4 linked regions of the Rattus norvegicus genome follow. The protein of the gene in region 3 purifies or fractionates together with the protein of the main gene of each other region. This does not show direct contact. Links are inferred from orthologs where the notes say so. Each region holds a gene or a part of one and is shown on either strand. Other genes may lie near its edges.

The links.
Region 1: the proteins of Cct2 (region 3) and Txndc9 purify together in Homo sapiens (co-immunoprecipitation; 3 studies listed by BioGRID and IntAct, counting the BioPlex papers as one, with this or other methods). This does not show direct contact. The link is inferred for Rattus norvegicus from reciprocal best matches to the Homo sapiens genes CCT2 and TXNDC9.
Region 2: the proteins of Cct2 (region 3) and Tubd1 purify together in Homo sapiens (co-immunoprecipitation; 3 studies listed by BioGRID and IntAct, with this or other methods). This does not show direct contact. The link is inferred for Rattus norvegicus from reciprocal best matches to the Homo sapiens genes CCT2 and TUBD1.
Region 4: the proteins of Cct2 (region 3) and Ddb2 purify together in Homo sapiens (co-immunoprecipitation; 3 studies listed by BioGRID and IntAct, counting the BioPlex papers as one, with this or other methods). This does not show direct contact. The link is inferred for Rattus norvegicus from reciprocal best matches to the Homo sapiens genes CCT2 and DDB2.

The regions. Positions count from the first base shown.
Region 1 is NC_086027.1:47,714,836-47,719,455, forward strand, and holds the start of Txndc9 (thioredoxin domain-containing protein 9), read right to left. Parts: upstream 2,927-4,620; 5' UTR 2,837-2,926; intron 2,741-2,836; exon of another isoform or gene 2,605-2,740; intron 1,750-2,604; 5' UTR 1,730-1,749; coding exon 1,541-1,729; intron 1-1,540. Other genes in the region: Eif5b (eukaryotic translation initiation factor 5B), read left to right, coding at 4,019-4,053. UniProt on the Homo sapiens protein: Significantly diminishes the chaperonin TCP1 complex ATPase activity, thus negatively impacts protein folding, including that of actin or tubulin.
Region 2 is NC_086028.1:71,863,719-71,868,600, reverse strand, and holds the start of Tubd1 (tubulin delta chain), read right to left. Parts: upstream 2,927-4,882; 5' UTR 2,887-2,926; exon of another isoform or gene 2,781-2,886; intron 1-2,780. Other genes in the region: Rps6kb1 (ribosomal protein S6 kinase beta-1), read left to right, coding at 3,411-3,551. UniProt on the Homo sapiens protein: Acts as a positive regulator of hedgehog signaling and regulates ciliary function.
Region 3 is NC_086025.1:54,588,154-54,592,989, reverse strand, and holds the start of Cct2 (T-complex protein 1 subunit beta), read left to right. Parts: upstream 1-1,584; 5' UTR 1,585-1,639; coding exon 1,640-1,642; exon of another isoform or gene 1,643-1,785; coding exon of another isoform or gene 1,786-1,866; intron 1,867-2,285; coding exon 2,286-2,360; intron 2,361-2,447; coding exon 2,448-2,513; intron 2,514-3,362; coding exon 3,363-3,474; intron 3,475-3,920; coding exon 3,921-3,997; intron 3,998-4,092; coding exon 4,093-4,205; intron 4,206-4,836. UniProt on the Homo sapiens protein: Component of the chaperonin-containing T-complex (TRiC), a molecular chaperone complex that assists the folding of actin, tubulin and other proteins upon ATP hydrolysis.
Region 4 is NC_086021.1:97,660,518-97,665,163, forward strand, and holds the start of Ddb2 (DNA damage-binding protein 2), read right to left. Parts: upstream 2,927-4,646; 5' UTR 2,785-2,926; coding exon of another isoform or gene 2,757-2,784; coding exon 2,630-2,756; intron 1,386-2,629; coding exon 1,249-1,385; intron 732-1,248; coding exon 540-731; intron 1-539.

The DNA.
Region 1 (4,620 bases), on a different chromosome or scaffold from region 3:
CTCTTTAAACTAATAAAATCAGGGTTGTTTGATTACAAAACGGTTTTTCGGTTTATTTTTGTGATGTGAGGGACTGAACCAGGAGCAAGAGCAGGAGACAGGAGAGCTCTACCACGGAGACACACACACACACTCACTATTTTCTACACTTTAGAAAGTAATGCTCTCACAGGCAACTAAAGAATGTTGAGAGTGGGAGGAAGAGTCTTCTCCAGGGAAAAGCACGCCAACTGGCTGTCCACTACCAAATGGTCAGTCTTGAAAATGTACACACGAGTTAACATTACAGACTGAGCAGGGCATATTTAGAAATGTGTATGTCTACACACACACACATATAGGGATGTAACAACAATTAGTGAGAACAGAGGCTGTGAGCGTGAAAGGGAGAATATGGGATGGCTTGGAAGGAGCAAAGGGAAGGGGGAATGATATAATCCTATGACAATCTCAAATTTAAGAAATAATGTCCTATCCACAGCATAACTAAACAGACAACCAAACTAAACCAAACCACCTCATGAAATAAAGCCCATCCACCCTGGGGGACAGTGCAGTTATCGAAGCTCAGGAAGCTTAGGACCCTATCTGCTTCTGACAGTAATCTCAAAACAGGCCGGGGCTTCTAGAGCAGCCAATAGTGAGCAGAGTCCTCAGAAGGAAAAGTATCCCACCCACGTGGTGTCCAAAGCCAGGGAAAAAAGCCTCACATCTAATTCAGGTTCCCAAGCTGAGGCAGGGCCTTTGTCAACCAAGCCTGGGACTCTTCCAGCCCCTTCCCCTTCCCTGTAGCAGAAAGCTTGTCACCTCAACGGATGCTCACTCTCCCTTTCAGGCTGCTGGTTAGGAGAAAAGTAACAAGGGAGGCTGCAGTGGCCACGCCCATCCGACATTTACTGACCGTTTTTTTTTTTTTTTTTTTTTTTTTTTTTTGGTTCTTTTTTTTTTTTCGGAGCTGGGGACCGAACCCAGGGCCTTGCGCTTCCTAGGTAAGCGCACTGACCAGTTTTAAGGAGCCTTCCACTTCACCTTCTCTCTTGTAAGTGGGTGCAACAACCCAACCATGTCACTGAGTGGCCATGAAGATGACAGACAGAATGGGGGTGCTGGTGCACACCTTGGGCCCCAGCGCTTCGGAGGCAGAAGCGGTAAAATGTCTGAGATTTCTAGGCCAATCATGGCTACACAGTGAGATCCTGCTCCTGTCCTGCCCTCCCACAAAAGACAAGACAACCTAATAAAAACGCAAGTCTAACACTTAGAAATATTTTCTCACACACAACCATCGTATTTCTTTTTGATGTGTGGACCCTAAGCTTGCCCTAAGAAAAAGTCTCAATGTCTCTCTTTCACATGTCATCGCCTCAGTCAAATGGTACATCTTGCCTAAGTCTTCCCTAATGTTTTATTCCTGGGCAGCTACTGAACAGTGTCGTGTGAATTTGGAACATCCTGCAAGTGAGGAGGGAAAGTCACATGACTGCACAGTGCAGTCAGGAGCACAGGGTTACAGTGGTTTCAGAGAGCAGGCGGAGGTTACTTGTTTCTGCTGCTGAGCCTTCCGGAGCGCCGCCAGTCTCTTTTCTTTGAGCAGTTCCAGCTCATCTTCACCGATCTGATCCAGTTTCTGAATTTCAGAGTCCAAGTGATTTTCCACTAGCTTAGCAGCCTGGAGGAACTGGTTTTCTAGGACTTCTGAGAACATGTCGATAGATCCATTTCCTTCCATTTTCCTAAATGGTCTTGGTGCTGGGGGAGGGGAGGGGTTCATAAAAAAACAAGTATTAAGTTTACACTCTGGGTTTTTTGTTTTTGTTTTCTTTTTGTTTTGTTTCTGTTTTTCTTTAAAAGACAGGGTCTCTATAAGGCCTGAGACCTTAACAGGCGCCATGTTGGAGGCATCATTTTGGCCTTAAAACTCAGCCATGTAGGCCCCAGAATAAAGATACCCACTGGCCAACCTGATTTACCCAATTTCTCAATGAGTCTTTCTTCCCAGGTGACTGTAAGTTACTGCATAAAGTTGGCAGCTAAAACTAATCAACTCGCACACAAAATAACCCTGGGCACGGTGGCTTATGACTGTAACCTCAGTTCTCAAGGGCAGAAGCATAAGGATCAGGAGTTTGAGACCATCCTTGGATATATTTGGAGGACAGGCCTGGGCTACTACATAAGACCATTTATTTTAAAAAAAAAATCCCTAAACTACCCTCTAAGCCTCAATTTTCAGCTCCTCATGAATATTATACAACTTAAAAGCTGTATCCCCAGGTTCCCTAACCTGGGGAGGAGAGATACAATAAGACTGTGACTCTTCAGGAAGATCTAGATGAAGGGATCCGAGACCAGCTACTCACAATCTGCCATTAACAGGGCATAGTAGTCGCTTATCCCTGAGGTTTTCACAGACCTTTAAGTTTAAATTCAGAGCTTCATGAGACTAATAAGTGCTGCGCTGGGTTAGGTGGGGCTAAGGATGTGTAGCTTAGTGGTTCCCCATAACTTTCTATTTGTTAAGTATTACTCTTACCGATGAACTGGGGGGGCTGACACTTATTTGTTCCCCTACAAACTCCTACCCGAAACCCTAACCCCGTGTACCTGTCAGCGGACTCTTCGCCACTCCCTGAGCTCAAGGGACTGGTGGAGGAGTTCCGGGGGGTGGGGAGGACGCTAGTTCGCACTAACTGGGGCGCATGCGCCGTAGCCTCCGCAGCCGCCCAGACGAGGCCCTCCCAGCCGCCCCCAGCCCAGCCGGATGTGCAGCCGATGTGTGTCCTTCATCTACACGGGGACGCAGTGGCAAGATCGGCTACAGAACCCTCTGCCGTACCTGGATTATTGGTGAAGCCTACGGAGAGAGGGAGCCGCAGACCAAGAGCACCGACCAGGTTCACGCAGGTTTCAACCTCACAGCAATTGTTAAGGGCGGCGAATGAGCTGTCAGCTCCACCTTTTCATTGGCTACAGCCCTCTCGCGATATAACCTGCGGAAGGGGCGGTGGAGAGTGACGAAAGCCTCGGAGAAGCTCTTATCCTTCGCCACCCGGAACTACTGACTTCTGAGCCTACACTTCACGTGGGCTAATGGCCGGAGGGATGGGCGCTAAGGACGCTGGGGAATGTAGTTTTTATGCACTGACTGCGGGTCCCAGCTCGCAAAGCTACGTGGAAACGAGCCGGGTCTTGCGCTTGAGTGACAGAGGGGCTTCGTTTGCCTTGCGTTTAATAGTTTCTAAAGTGTAGCTTCCAGTATGCTATAAATTTGTACACAGCTCACACTATAACAGTGCACAAAAACATATGGAGAAAAATTTCACCACTCCAGGATCTTCCCTCCCCATTTTATCTTACACACATGCATTTTTAGAACTTGCTCATGAGAAGATTCATATTAGGGGTCCGGTCGCTGTGCCCTTATGTCTTTTTCCCTTAATAGAAGTACACAGTTGACAATTCAGTGTCTGAATTGGTATTTTTGTTTTTGTTTCTGTTTTTGGTCCTGCCAACCCCAGAAAGCTCATCATTGGCTCCTTGTGGTCCTGCAGTGGACTTCCCGCAGCTGAGGCGAGGGGAGTTTTCAGTCCCACTTCGGCGTCGAATGCCAGCCCCGGGGAGGGTGCTTGACAGTGGGAAATGAACGGCCTCATTGTCCTCCTCCAGGTTCTAGAACCCGGGAGCTGCTGGGCGTCGGTGCGCGGCGCTCACTTGCGGCTAGGGGGCGCTCGAGTTCCCACCTGGCCGGCGGGTCAACTCCAGACGCTCTAGCCGAAGCGCCGCTCTCGATGAGCCGCGCCCTGCGTCCCCACGCCGAGGCGGCGGGGCGATGCGCTTGCGTACTGAGGGCTCACACCATATGTGCCCTGTCCCAGTGCGCGGGTCTGTGGAGAGCCGGGTGCGAGAGGCGGCGGCGCGAGGGGGACCGAGCCGAGCGGGCATTGGAGTCGGCTGGGAGACAGTGGGTCTGTGAGACACCGAACCGAGGGGCCGTGGCCACGAGCGCCGCTGACAAGCGATGGGGAAGAAACAGAAAAACAAGAGCGAAGACAGGTTAGGCGGCGGGGCTCGGGCCGGGGGTCGTCGCGCGGGGCCCTGGGTGGGCGAACCTCGACGAGGCGCGTCCCGCGGCCGGGGCTCGGACTGCGGTCCGAGGCTTGGGGCTGGGGCACTCGGAGGTCGTTTGCGGGGGTTCCGGGCGGTGTGGGGCCGGGCTCGGGCGCAGCTAAGCCAGGCCTACGGCCCAGGTGAGTGCGAGCCGGGCCCTGGCAGCTAGGGTAGGGCCGGCCGGGAGCGGCTCGCTCGCCGCCCCTGACCCTGGGAACGCCTCCCGGAGCAGCTCAGGAACTTCGAAGTTGTTCGGGGCTGCGGAGTGGTGGCCCAGCGGCTCCCTCGTCTTGTATGCCAAGTTGGAAACACTTCTGGGGTTATTTAAAGTGCCGGTTGCCCAGACTCCTGCTTTCTGGCTTTCCGTCTTCCGGCCTGTCTTTCTCGCGTATGTCTTGGCTTCCTACCACTTCCCATAAGACAGAAGGAGGGGAAGGAACCATTCGGGGTCGCTGCTTTCTAACCCTAAAAAAAAAGTCTTTTCAGGGAGAGGAGGGTCTCTGAGCTACTTTG
Region 2 (4,882 bases), on a different chromosome or scaffold from region 3:
CGGGATGTGTCTCAGCACCTACACTGCCGCCTGAAACTTTAGCTCCAGGGGATCCAGTTACCCTCTTATGGCCTTCCCAGGCACTGCATGCATATTGTGTACATACAGTCATGCAGGTATTCTCATACAACATAAAATGACATTTTTAGAAAATTTTATATATGTGACTACACTGTAGCTGTCTTCAGACACACCAGAAGAGGGCAGCAGATCCCATTACAGATGGTTGCGTGTCACCATGTGGTTGCTGGGAATTGAATTCAGGACCTCTGGGAGAGCAGTCAGTGCTCTGAACCACTGAGCCATCTCTCCAGCCCTATTGCCTTCGTTTTAAAAGTACATAATTAATCTTTTTTTTTTCCTTGTTTTTGAGACAGGGCCTCACTGTGTGGCTCTGGCTGTCCTGGAACCCACTATATAGATCAGGCTGACCTCAAACTCACAGAGATCACCTTGCCTCTGCCTCCTGAGTGCTGTGAAATTTATCCCTATGTTATGTGCACGTATGTCTGTCGACTACATGCATCAGTGCCCTCGGGGGCCAGAAGAGGGTGTCACAACATATCATCTGGGACCACTATCACAATTGCCTTGTAGATGCCTGGGACTGAACCTGGATCTCTGCAAGAGCAGCAAACTCTCTTAACTGCTGAGCCCTCTCTAGCCTGATTTTACTGTCTTGACATTATACTGTTCAAAGACTTTCCAAGAGATCTGTTTTTCTTCCCCTCGTGTGTGTGTGTGTGTGTGTGTGTGTGTGTGTGTGTGTGTGTGTGTGTATGATTACTAAGTGTTTCCTAGAATGTATTGGTGAGGTCAACAGGCTGACAAGTAAAACCAAAGGACACGAAGGTTGTAACAAGGGAGTTACAACATATTTCTCTGTAAATGGAGCTCATGGCCTTGTTCAAGAGAGAAAACTGCAAGCTTACATCTGGAAACAGTATATGGTAAGAAATCATATACTCTTAGGCCATAAGCATGGCTCATTACCACCTTAACGTTCTTATTTGAAATAGCCCTATAGAAAGAAACGTTCCTATATAGTCAACTTTCACAGAAAATTTTATTAATCATATATACATATGTGTAGTCCTTGCTTTCTACCAGGTCTGAGGATGGGCCTCTCTTTTGTTGTTTGCAGCTGTGTATCAGGCTAGCTAGCCCATGATTCTATGGGATCTCCTGTCCCCACCCTCCATCTCTCCATTGGAGTACTGGGATTACTCCACCCATCTGGTTAGCACACATCTGGTTTAACATGGATTCTGGAAATTCATACTCAGATTCTCATGCTTGTATAGTGAGTAATTTGCCCCTGAGCCATCTTCCCCAGTTCTCTGAGCTGGAATCCTGATTCTCGGATGGTGAGACCTCAACTAAATTTTGGAATAAAGCATCCTTTTCCTGATCTCCCCATGTTCCTCAGTCTTTCCTGTCTCTATCTAAGAATCTAGTCATTAAAAGAAATTTCCTCACTCTATAACTTGGGGGATTTAGTATTTACTGTCCCCAAATTCATTCACACACAATTCAATAGTTCCCAAAATATGATTCACATTCACTGTTTTTCCAACTATGCTTTTAAAAGAACACAAACAAACCACAACAAAAGCATTGGTGGTGGGGGCTGTGTAATCATGAGGAGCAGAGTTTAGCTGCCAGCACCCAGGTAACAAGCCAGGTGTCCTGTGCAGGCCTGTAGTTACAGATGCAAGTCCAATCCTTCTGTCTAGAAGGATCACTGTGGGTGGCTTCCAGCTTGGTTGAGAAAACTCAGCCCCAAGTTGAGAGAGAGAGAGGGAGAGGGAGAGGGAGAGGGAGAGGGAGAGGGAGAGGGAGAGGGAGAGAGACTGTGCCTCAAAGTGATAACTGGATGCCCTCATCTCCTGTGCATTTGCATAAGTGATCACATTCACACACACATGTGCATATACACTCACACACATAAATTATCTAAAGGAAATATAGTGATGAAGAAATTCTTTGTATACATTTCACACTACATGGACACCAGAAGTTAGCTCAATAGAACAGTCAATAACATTAATTTTCTGTCTTCCAAAAATATGACTTATTTATTCTTCTCTCACCAACCATCTTCTGGCCTGGTAAGCACAATTAAAATCAGTAAGGCCGGTTGTGGTGGCTACACCTTTAATCCCAGCACTTGAGAGACAGAGGTAGGCAGATCTCTGAGTTTGAGGACACAGTTAGTTCTAGGACAGCCAGGGCCACACAGAGAAATCTTGTCTCAGAAAACCAAAAACCAAACAAACTAACAAGTTGGATCTAGGCATAGCGCGGAAGTCTTTCATCCTAGCACTTGGGAGGCAGAGGCAGAGCGATCTCTGTGAGTTTGCATCTACACTGTGAATTTTACAACAGCCAGAGTTACCTAGTAAGACAATGTCTCCATAAGAAAAGAAGGAAAAACAAAGTTGGAACTTAGAGAAAGACCAGATAAAGTATGGAAGTAAAGCTTTATTATTTTTAAACAACAAAAGAGAACTGTTTGTTTTGAGACAGGGTCTCCCTAAGTAGCCCAGTCAGGCCTGAAACTAATTAGTCTGGGCTGACTTCAAATACATAATCCTTCTGCCTCAGCCTCTCCGATAACAGGGACTATAAAAATAGAGTATTTTTGACGAATGCTTCACATCAAGTCTCGATAGCCCCGGAAATGAGCAGAGCCTTGCGAACCAGACTTTCAACTTAACGTCTAAGCCTGCATCGTAGGTAATACTATTCTCATTTTACGGTTAAGGAAATTGAGTTACCGAAGGGTTATGTAACTTTTCCAAGCCACCAAATTAGCAAATAGCAAAGCCAAGTGTCTTTCTTTGCCTTTCTTCCCTATCAGCTCCCAGTTAACCCCACACTCACTGACAGCTCTGCGACCGGCAGTTTCAGTTCGGTTCAAACTTCAGGAGACCAACCCTCTTACTATGCGCATGCTCACTTTCAATACTTTAAAAAAAAATTACCTAGCACAAATAAATGCGCTTGCTCCTTATGCGAAGAGCTCTGCTGAGGGTTAGTCTTTTTTCAACCCCCGTTTCCCTTCTTCTATTTAGAAAGGCTAACCACGCGTGTTCAATTTCAATTTATCAACTTCAGATATGGTACGCATGCTCCACATCCGGCAAACGCCTTAGACAAGTAACGCGCATGCTGTTACTTTCCTGGCTTGGCTTCGGTTGGTGTTCTGCGCATGTTCCTGCCAGTACCTGGCACCGGGAGATAATGCTACGCATGTCCGCTGCCCACTGAATGGCTTCACAAGACCTTTTACGCATGCTCCGGGGCTGAACTTGAGGAGCCAGTCTGGGGCCTAGGCGCAGACGCATTGAGCTTAAGCAGCCGGTGATGGCGGCGGCAGCAGTGGAGTCTGCGGCGGGTCCGGGCCCATGAGGCGACGACGGAGGCGGGACGGCTTTTACCCAGCGCCTGACTTCCGACACAGGGAAGCTGAGGACATGGCAGGAGTGTTTGACATAGACCTGGACCAGCCAGAGGATGCAGGCTCTGAGGATGAGCTGGAGGAGGGGGTGAGGCCCGGGGTCCCCGGGGAAGGGGGGGTGGTGGCGGCGAGGTGACAGGGCCGGGGTGGCGGCGTGGGCCCGGGAAGCTTGGTGTGTCCTAGGGCGCGGAGACTCGGGGGGACGCGAGCGGTCTCCGGTAGGAGCTGAGGCGCCGCGCGGCCGAGCGGGGGAGCGGGCGGGCGGACCTGGCCCTAGGTGTGAGGCCTCTGCGGGGCGCGCAGGTGCAGGTCTCGCCCTGATCCCTAGCTGAGCGCTGCCCCGAGCGATGTGTTTCAGGAGCGCAGAGGAGAAAAGGCGCGCGGTCGGCTTCTGGAGCTGTGGGGCTTGAGTGTGGCCCGGGTGGTGTGAGCGTGTGCTGGGGGTGGGGAGGGCTGATCTTGCTGGGTGTCCCCCTTAGTGCAGGTGAGGCGCGGAAGGGTTTCCCTTTGGAGTGTAAGATTGCAAGTCTTAAATCTTCAGACTCCCCACAACCACCTCTCTTCTCGGCCTGTCGCTTCTCTCCTAGGAAGCGCTCAGCTGTTAGAAGTGACAGCTGAAAACTTCTGTCGGGAGTAGCACTGCTGTGACAGCCACCAGGAGTTTTATTTCGGGAGCAAGGGGGCTCTGCTGCATCTTCCAGGGTTTGTTTGTTTGCCTTTTATTTTTAACCCCCCATTCCGTGTGACTTTTTAAAGGAAAAAAAAACCATTCATAATGACACACGGCATTTGTAAGTTAATTCTCTTCAAGTTGAAGATGTCTATATTTTTTTTCGGAATAATTTATGTAATTGTAGGGTGGGGAAAAAAAAAAGCGTTGACAGCTGTGATTCGTCTAGCCAAAAATAAATTGCTTGAACCGAGACTTGTGAATAGTGGTGTGAGGGTTTTCCTTGCTGAAGTTTAAATTTAGAATCGCTTTTCTAGTGCACATCTTGGTTTTACCTTTGCTGTCCTAGTAGTTTGTTATTTATGGTATATCACTTCTTCTACAGTAATATTTATTGAAGCATACTTATTTTACACCAAAGGTAAACCAAACGTCAAACTAAAGAACCAATCCTGGACAAATGTCATCTGTAATAAACTCATAGTGACTTAGGTTTTAAATGCCATCATCTATATAAGAATATGGATTTATGGCTGATTTATGGATTTATTTGCTTTATTTATATAAGGCTCCCTCATCCCTGGTTTTCCTTTAGTGAGTAAGTTATGCCCTTCTGGCAAAATACTAAAATGCTATGTATAAAGGACTTTGAACAGTTTATGAAATTAAGTGGACCCACATAAGTATTATTCTTTTCATAATCAAGTGACTCTCAGTCGGAATTTCAGAGTTCCAAATGTGGGTATTAC
Region 3 (4,836 bases):
TTTAAAAGCTGTTGAGGGAGGACTGGAGAGATGGCTCAGTGGTTGACTGCTCTTCTAAAGAGGTCCTGAGTTCAATTCCCAGCACCACTTGGTGGCTCACAACCATCTGTAGTGAGATCTGATGCCCTCTTCTGGTGTGTCAGAACACAGCAACAAGGTACTCATTCACAAATAATGTTTAAAAACCAGTTGATAACTAGATTTGACTGTCCATAGCTCGCCAGCCCGAACTTACTATATCTAAGGGTAAATATAACTAAACATTGAAAATGCCTTAGTGTTGGCAAGTATCAGAAATTTAGGTACTTACTAAGTGATCAAAGAGAGAAATGTTACCAATGGATAAAAGAAAAACTAACATTCTTTTCAATCATTTGGGGCTTTGCCTTAGGTATCAAGAGCAAAGAGAAAAACATTTTAATATTTTTAAAAGAATTATTTATTTTATGTGTAAGAGTACACTCACTGTTGCTGTCTTCAGACACACCAGAAGAGGGCATCAGATCCCATTACAGATGGTTGTGAGCCACCATGTGGTTGTTGGGATTTGAACTCGGACCTCTGCTCAGGAAGAACAGTCAATGCTCTTAGCCACTGAGCCATCTCTCCAGCCCCAAGAGAAAACTTTTTAAAAACTGATTTATTATGTAGTTTATGTATGAGTGCTCTGTATGCATGTACACCTACCTGCATGCCAGAAGGGCATCAGATGGTTGTGAGTCTCCATGTAGTTGCTGGGAATTGAACTCTGCACCCCAGGAAGAGCAGATACTGCTCTTAAGCGCCGAGCCATCTCACCAGCGCCGAGAAAACTATTTGTAATAAGCTGAAATATTTCGGACTTGATCTTTGAGAAGTCATGTAAGAGTTATAATGGGCTCTCCCCTACCCCGAGGGAAAACAAATGAGGAAAACCTGAACTGGACTACTAGAGCCAATGTCTCAGCTAAGACTCACTAGCGCTTGTCCTGAGCAGTTAAAATCCAATTAGTGTCTTAAAATTAAATGAACTGCAGGAGTAGTGGCGCCCACCTTTTATACCTGCACTGTGGAGGCAGGGTAGAAGGATCTCAGATGGCCAAGCTAAGCTAGAGTTACACAGTAAGACCATGTCTAAGAAGTTAAATGAAGATTCCTTTATAATAATAATGCTAAAAATTATTATTTAGAAGTCTATTGATAAATAACCCTGCCAAAGTAAAATAAAAAGCACGAAAAATGGAATGGTTGCTACCGGGACGAGTAAATAATGGAAATGATTAGTGTGCAACACTTGAAAATGTACAACTGACCTTAAAACAAATTTTGAAAGATTAAATTTTAAAAATGTATGTTAAGCAGGAACTTCGTTTCCGTGGCAACCCGCGCGGTACAAAGTCTCTTTGTTCTCCAGTTCTATTCTAAATCAGCTCGCCCCTAGCCCCGCCCACATCTCAATGATTTCCGCTACTGGGCTAACACGAGCCGAGGCCCCGCCCCTTCTACAGAGAGCAGCCCGCCACGCAGGAGGCGGAAACCCGCGCAGGTCGGCTCCGCCCCCTGCGGCAGATCGTGTCGTCACTTCCGCCTTCCTTTCCCCCTGCTGGCTTCCCGGCGCGGCTTGTGAGGGATTATCCTCTACTCTGAATTCGTCGGAACCATGGTGAGCCTAGCTTTCGGCCCAGGCCTTCGGCTCCTGCCCGGGTCCTGCTGTGTCCCGCCTCCCCGCTGCTCCTCTTGTCTAACCGGAGTCGCAGGCTTCCTGCGGCCGTCTCATGGACCCTCGGCACATGGCACGGACCGGGCATGAGGCCTGCGTGGGACCCGCTGACCAAGCTCTCTGCGTGGGGCTGGAAGGGAGAGCGCGCCCTAAGCCAGCATCTCTTTGTAAGATGAGAGCTTCTCATCTAGGGTACCTCGACCAGCCCCCGGCCTTAGCCCTAGCGGAGAAGTTTCTAGCTACTCTTGTCGGCCCCGCCCTCTTCGGGGCGGGTCTTGAAGGGCGAGCGGCAGTGCAGGCCTGTGGAAGATGGAGGGTAGCTAACTGGTGGTTGGTGCTTGCCCATCCTTAATGTTGCCTTTAGTTTTGTCATAAACACTAGTGGGTTGATGTGATGGCTTATTCCTGGCGCCTACAAGAACGTCCCTCTCGCCATTTAAATAAATACCCACTCCGACGACTGACTCCTGAAATTATATCGGAAACCAGTTTTCCTTTAGATAACCTTACCGATCTAGTGAGAGGCCCTAGATGTGTCTTATCGAGTACTGGCGTTCAAACGGCGTGTGTTACTTTCTCCTTCTAGGCCTCCCTTTCCCTTGCACCTGTTAATATCTTCAAGGCTGGAGCTGATGAAGAGAGGGCAGAGACAGCTCGCCTGGTAAGCCCGTCTGCTTCTTTTAAATGAAAGATCCAACTCTTTGTGAGTGTAAATTTTGACCGCCTTTTCTGATTTTTCTTTTTTAAGTCATCCTTTATTGGTGCCATTGCCATTGGAGACTTGGTGAAGAGCACTTTGGGACCGAAGGGCATGGTAAGAAAAATAAGAAATTTTTAGAAGTTTCTTTTGTTTCTAGTTTTGTTTGCTTTTCCTGTGGTCTTGTGTTGTAGTGGCTGGCCAAAAAGTACGTTTTTTTGTTTTTTGTTTTTTTTCCTTTTTTTCGGAGCTGGGGAACCGAACCTAGGGCCTTGCGCTTGCTAGGCAAGCGCTTTACCACTGAGCTAAATCCCAACCCCCCCAAAATACAAGTTTTAATAATGGTTTAAAGCTTTTGGTGTAAATTTAGTAATAATTTTTTCCCCTTATGTTTTGGAATCTAAAACTTTAAATTAGAAAAAGTCCTTTTGTATTACCATCCCCAATCACACATCTCTCTCCAGTGGCAGCAAGAGTTACCGTTTGCAAAACCTGGTAGCAATGGTTCACTTACAGATAAGTTTGTCATGTTACATTTTTTTTGCAATGCATTTTTTTAAATAACAGATACCATTTTTTTGTTTATGTCTATGTGCTTTTAGTGTGCTGTTTTCAGAGTTCATGCTACCTCCTTTTATGTGAACAGATTTTTATAGCCTTGGTACTAATGTTTTTAACTGATCTTTTGGTTAATACAGAAAGGGTTCCATTGTGATTTTTTTTTCTTTAGTATGCTATACTTTAACTATCGTATAATGTTGTGGGATGTGCTTTGAACTTTGCTGATGGACATTTGTCTGCTTCGTAGTCTTGTGGTGTAGCAAAGCTAGTTTGTATTGTCTGAACTTCTAAGATTTTACACAGTGAGGTTTACAAAGCACGTGGTAGCCAAAGAACCTTTCAGAGGTTTCTGTGTCAGCAGGTATTCTTCAGGAAGTACTTAGTTTGACACAAATTTCCTTTCAGGATAAAATTCTTCTAAGCAGTGGACGGGATGCCTCTCTGATGGTGACCAATGACGGTGCCACCATTCTCAAAAACATCGGTGTTGACAACCCAGCAGCCAAAGTTCTAGTTGGTGAGTCTGAAACTTACTCTTATTCTTTTCTAATAATTTATTTCCCGGCAGGTTGTGTTAACTATTTAAATGAGAGATATTGGCATTTATCAGTATTAAAATGAAATTCAGAAGTATTGTCATCCATAGTCCGTATGGCTGCTACAACCACAGACTAGGTAGTTTTTAAATGGTACAAGAGTCTTTGGCTGAACTGCCAAGTCCAAGATCGGTGGGCCCTTTTCTGGTGAGGTCTTTTTTTCTGTCATAATGTGACAAAAGACATAATGTGCTGAGACAAAAAAAGATCAGGGATTAGTTTCCATGAACTCGTGAGGTACATTCAAGCTAAAGTATTTAGAGCTTTAAGTCAGATCTGGAACATACTATAAATGGAGTGTAGGTTTGCTGTGGAAGTTGTAAAAGAATTTAGTGATAAGGAGGCATAATTTTGCTTTTTTTCCTAGATATGTCAAGAGTTCAGGATGATGAAGTTGGTGACGGCACCACCTCTGTTACTGTCTTAGCTGCAGAGCTACTCCGGGTAAGAGCGGCTGGCAATTCCACCTTAGTACTGGGACTGTGGTTTGAGCAGTAGTCAAATCCTCGGTTACTCTTATGTGCCTTGTTTATTGGCAGGAAGCGGAATCTTTAATTGCAAAAAAGATCCATCCACAGACCATCATTGCGGGTTGGAGGGAAGCCACAAAGGCAGCAAGAGAGGCCCTGCTGAGCTCAGCTGTGGATCATGGGTTGGTATAACGCAATCCCCTTGGGAAAGAAATCTAGAGAACCCTGAGCATTATCTTGGTACCTTGCTCTATCCTAGCAGCTAAAACCCATGCCACCCACCCAAGAACCTTGGCTAGGCCTTCACTTCCCCTCGGCCTCCGGTCTCTAGAGTTAGCTCTCACTAGCCTCAAGTTCACTGCCCAAGTGCTGGGAGTACAAGCCTGTTTCCATACCTGCTTTATTAATCCCTTTAACATGATTCTTAGCCAGTGTGTTTCTGGGTATTGATAGGTTCTCTGCGACATTAGTCCTGAGGTGCTTTAATACGGGACTGATGAATTTTCTTTAAGCTATATTGTATTTTTGAGAAGTTTTAGCTTTATAATATAGGAAATTTGCTACTCAAGAAATATTTCTATGAGTGGAATTGCTGAGTCCAAAAGTCCACCTATTTTAGTTTACTTCGATGTGTATTACTAAATAAACCTCCGGAGACGATTTTTATTTGTGCTGAGTGTGTTGCAGACAGTAGCTTCCCCACTGTGACAGTATTTAATAGGCTTGCGTGCTCAGGCCTCTGGGAGTTTGGGAGTTTGGTGGGAAGACAGGATCCCATTGTTTTCTTTTTCTTGATTTTGATGACCTTAAAGG
Region 4 (4,646 bases), on a different chromosome or scaffold from region 3:
ATTCTCCCTGCTTTCTGACTCCTGAGATAAGCCGCACTGCTCTACCATCCTCTTCTACCATGATGCCCACAGAGCAAACAAGCATGGGCCAAAACTCTCCAGCTGTTTTTCTTCCTTTAGATCCCTTCTCTCTGGGACTGCCACAGTAATGAAAAATTAACTACCACAGGAAAGATGGACAAAATGAGGTTTTGTAGGAAGGGATACAGAAAGGCATGGCCAAGGCAGGCAGGTCTATGAATTTGAAGCAAGCCTGGTCTACAATGCATTCCAAGCCAACCAATGAAATTCTATCTCAAAAAGAAGATGACGAAAAGGAGGAGGGAGAAGATGAGGAAGAGGAATGCTAGACTTTATAGACCAGTCTATACCTTCTGATATTTTAAAGACCATCATTAAAAACATATTTGAATTGTGTTGCCATTTATAAGTTTTAAAACCAGTTACTTTTTTCCCCAATCATCTGGCTATCAACATTCCTTCCATTCCTCCAACAATCAGCCTTAAAGCATAACCATCTGGCTCACGTAACCACTTACCCCTTTAAGGAAGATGGGTTTGTCCTTTATGCCAAAGTTCCAGATCATAATATCTCCCCCTTTGGAGCCCACAGCCAAAGTACTGGGATGAGTCGGGTGCCATGCCAAGGACGTTGTCCTCCTGTCAAAGGGGGCAGCTTTTTGGAATACCCGGTAAGAAGCTAGAGAGTGCAAAAAGGACTTCTGGAGACCCTAATACAGAGAAAATAGAGTTAATCTGGATTCCCTGAATTAAAACTCATGTCCTAAGCTGGGCATGGTGGTGCATGCCTTTCACTCCACTACTCAGCAGGTAGAGGTAGGTGAATTTCTGTGAGACTGAAGCCAGCCAGGTCAACATACAGAGATCCAGGCCAGCTAAGGCTACACAGAGATTGTGTCTCAGAACATTAATAAAAACTAAACTCAAGTCCTGGGTAAACTGTCACTCTCTGGCTCCTTTGTGCGTAGGCAGTAAGTCTTTGTTGGCCTTGTGTATCAACTATCTGCAATGTATGTGAACTAATCCTGGCAAGCAGGAGGGAGAATGCTTGTTGTAGCTAGGATGTCTACAGAGTAAAACATTTTCTCTTTGACTGAGTGTCCAGTAGGTCAGTCATCATATCTGAGGTGACCTGATGATTCTGAACCAATCCATCGTCTGGTTAGAGCGGGCAGCAGTTGAAAAGCTATGTACACCTTTGAGCGCCTCAGACAGGAAACATCTCACCTGCTGTAGTGACGGCCAGGTGGCTTTGCCCAACTTCTGCTGGTAAAGATCCCGGACAATGCTGCTGCTCCTCGGAGGGATCTGCAAGCTGGACAACTCTGCCAGAAGGCAGCACGACTCACATTTCCTACTAGAAACTGCCCAAGAAGAATAGACGTTTTCCTCTCCCCAGTCTCAGGAAAGGTTTCCCCTCTGAAAATCCTTTGTCTCATCATCTCCTAAAAGCCTTTCTCTGCTGTTGAATATCACTCAACCCAAGAAAGTAATAACAACACTTTCCCAAAACACTCCTCCAAACAGTAATTCTGCAGTGAAACTAAATATGGCCTTTCAGGGTTCCTTAGAGCTTTGCCAAGGAGCTACAGAATAGTGTACACTCAAGACTTTTCTTGTGTGGGATGACAAATTAGTAGGAGTTGAGGGACAAACTTAAAATCACATTTCTAGGACAGCATGGGAGTAATTGCTTAGGGAAAGAGGTTTGTTTAATCTTATATTAAAATAAGAGCTATCCAAACATATTGGTGCATAACTGTAATCCTAGCACTCTGAGGGCTGGAGCATAAACATCTTGAACTGGAGGCCAGCCTGGTCTACACAGAAATACTAAATAAATAACGTGATGAGCAACCATTACTTGAGTGGAAACCAGAAGAATTAACCAGGGTTTAGAAAAGCTCTAAATTGATTAGGTTGCTTCAGGGAAAGGAGGTAAATCAGAGTATATGAAAACAAAGTAACCCTGAATTACCAAACCCTTCTGGTGGACCCAATCTTATAAGGTCCTTTCTCTTGACAACTTTCCTTCCCATGAGAACATGGCTAAAACCATATCACTTTACCACATTCCTTATAGCCCCAGGTTCAAGCCCTGGTAAACGAGAATGAGCTTCCTGAAGAAAAGGGGTTGGGGGGAGACTTCACTCTCCGAGCTGAAACCCAAGGCCATACAGCTAACAACACCCACTATGGAAATTCAGCAATCAAAGGTCTATGAAAGTGAGGATAACTTTGAAACAGATGTGTAAAACTTCTGCAAGGAAAAGTGATGAGTGTGGCTTTTATGGTGATGGAGCTCATCTGATTCTTACTGCCACCTGGGGTAGAGGTGGGGGGTGACAGTTAAACTTAAACTCTCTGGTGTCAATGAACTGGCAAATAAAGCGCAGTCCTATGAGTGTAGCTCAGTTGCAGACCACTTGCTGAGCGTACTAGAGGCTTGGGTTCGAGCCCTAGATCTCTCAAATAAAATCACAGCCTGAGGTGACGGGGACCAGGAACTGCTTCAGAATCCTAGGCACAAGCACCGACCACCCCACCTTCAGCCTCTGGCGTGAGCACCCTGAACCACCCGAAAGCTAAGGCAGCGCACAGGCCGTACCGGGACCCTGCACAAACAGCTTCTTGGCTTCGGGCTCCAGCTCCTGAGGACTTCTGCGGCTTTTGCTCTTGAGGAGCACCGCAACGTCGGGGGACTTCTGGGTTTCTGGGCATTTCTTGGGAGCCATGACGTACTCGGTGAAGAGATACCAAGCTCTATGGCAAAATAACGAAGCAAGACCTGAAAAGCCTCGAAGGAGAAAAACAGGAAGGGACTACGTACGAAGGAGCGCCGTCGTCGCAGGTAGCTTGGCACAGACAACTTCGCGCCAAACTCTCCTAGGGCTGCTTTACTTTTAGCCCCGCCCTGTCCCCTCAGGGCTGTCCCGCCCCTTGGAACTACCCCGCCCCCTCGGGATTGCCACAGTAGGGGGCTGTCCCGCCCCCGGAACTGCCCCAGACTGCCCCGCCCCTTGGGCATGGTCCGCCCCCGGCTGCTCCACCTCTTCCGGAGTAACGTGTGGAGCGTGCTGGGAGGGTTTTTTTTTCTTTTAACTCCCTAAGGACTGGGACTTCGCTTGTGTGCTGGACCAGAAGAAACCGGATTGTTTAAACCCGGCGGAGGTTACGCACGCCTTTAATCCTTGCACGCTGGAGGCCGAGCCAGGCGGCATTAGAGGCTTGCTTGGTGTACAGAACGAGTTCCAGCAGTCAGGAGAACTACGCTGAGAAACCCGGTCTCGAACAACAACAACAACAACAACAACAACAACAACAAACATTGTCTCGAAGAGGAAGAACAACAACAACAAAAAGAATAAAAAGGAAAAAAGTAGGCAGTTTATGTCTTAACAAGAGCAAAGATCCAAGTGTTGCCTGTTAATAATACCCAATCTGATTACCCAATCACCGCTTTAGCATTCGATTCGTTCCTCTCACTTTACAGATGTATTTTACCTCATAGATACTTCAGGGAAGAGCAGTATCTATGGTGGCACGCTCTATGTAATTTCCAGCACTGAGGAGGCTGGGGTATGAGGAGTTAGCCTGGACTACACTGACATCCTGTAGGGGTCAACTAAGAGTGAGACAATCTGGTGTACTGTCGCACAGCGAGGTGACTGCAGATAAGGGTCATTTGCGCGCTCTCTCTCTCTCTCTCTCTCTCTCTCTCTCTCTCTCTCTATATATATATATATATATATATATATATATATATATATATTATTTTTTTTTTTGGTTCTTTTTTTCGGAGCTGGGGACCGAACCCAGGGCCTTGCGCTTCCTAGGTAAGCGCTCTACCACTGAGCTAAATCCCCAGCCCCTATATTTTTTTAAAAGAAAGATTTTGAATGTTTTCACCGTAAGCGATATCGGAGAAATGTTTAACCCAGTTTAAAGAATACAATATATGTAGGTGGGTGAAACGCAATGTATGCATTCGTTATGAAGATGATACTCCATAAATATTTAAAATTCATATGTCTTTATGTAGTTTAATTTTAAATTAAAGCGATGCTCTAGAGGAGAGTAAAAAGCTGAGCCAGTCGTGGGGCTGTCCTAAGATGGGCTTGAATTAAGAATTGTAGCTTAGGGGTTGGGGATTTAGCTCAGTGGTAGACCGCTTGCCTAGGAAGCGCAAGGCCCTGGGTTCGGTCCCCAGCTCCGAAAAAAAGAACCAAAAAAAAAAAAAAAAAAAGAATTGTAGCTTAGTGGCCAGAGAGATGGTTTAATAATGGTTAAAGGAGGGCTGGAGAGATGGCTCAGCGGTTAAGAGCACCGACTGATCTTCCAGAGGTCCTGAGTTCAAATCCCAGAAACCACATGATGGCTCACAACCATCTGTAATGGGATCCGATGCCCTCTTCTGGTGTATCTGAAGGCAGTCACAGTGTACTCATATACAAAATAAATAAATAGATCTTTAAAAAATAATAATAATAATAATAGTTAGATGAGCTTGCTGCTTTTCCAGAGGACCTGAATTCTGTTCCCTGCACCCAGGCAGGTGGCTCACAACTACCTTGTATGTAACTCCAGCTCCAGAAGACCAGACACCCTTTTCTGGACTCTGCAGA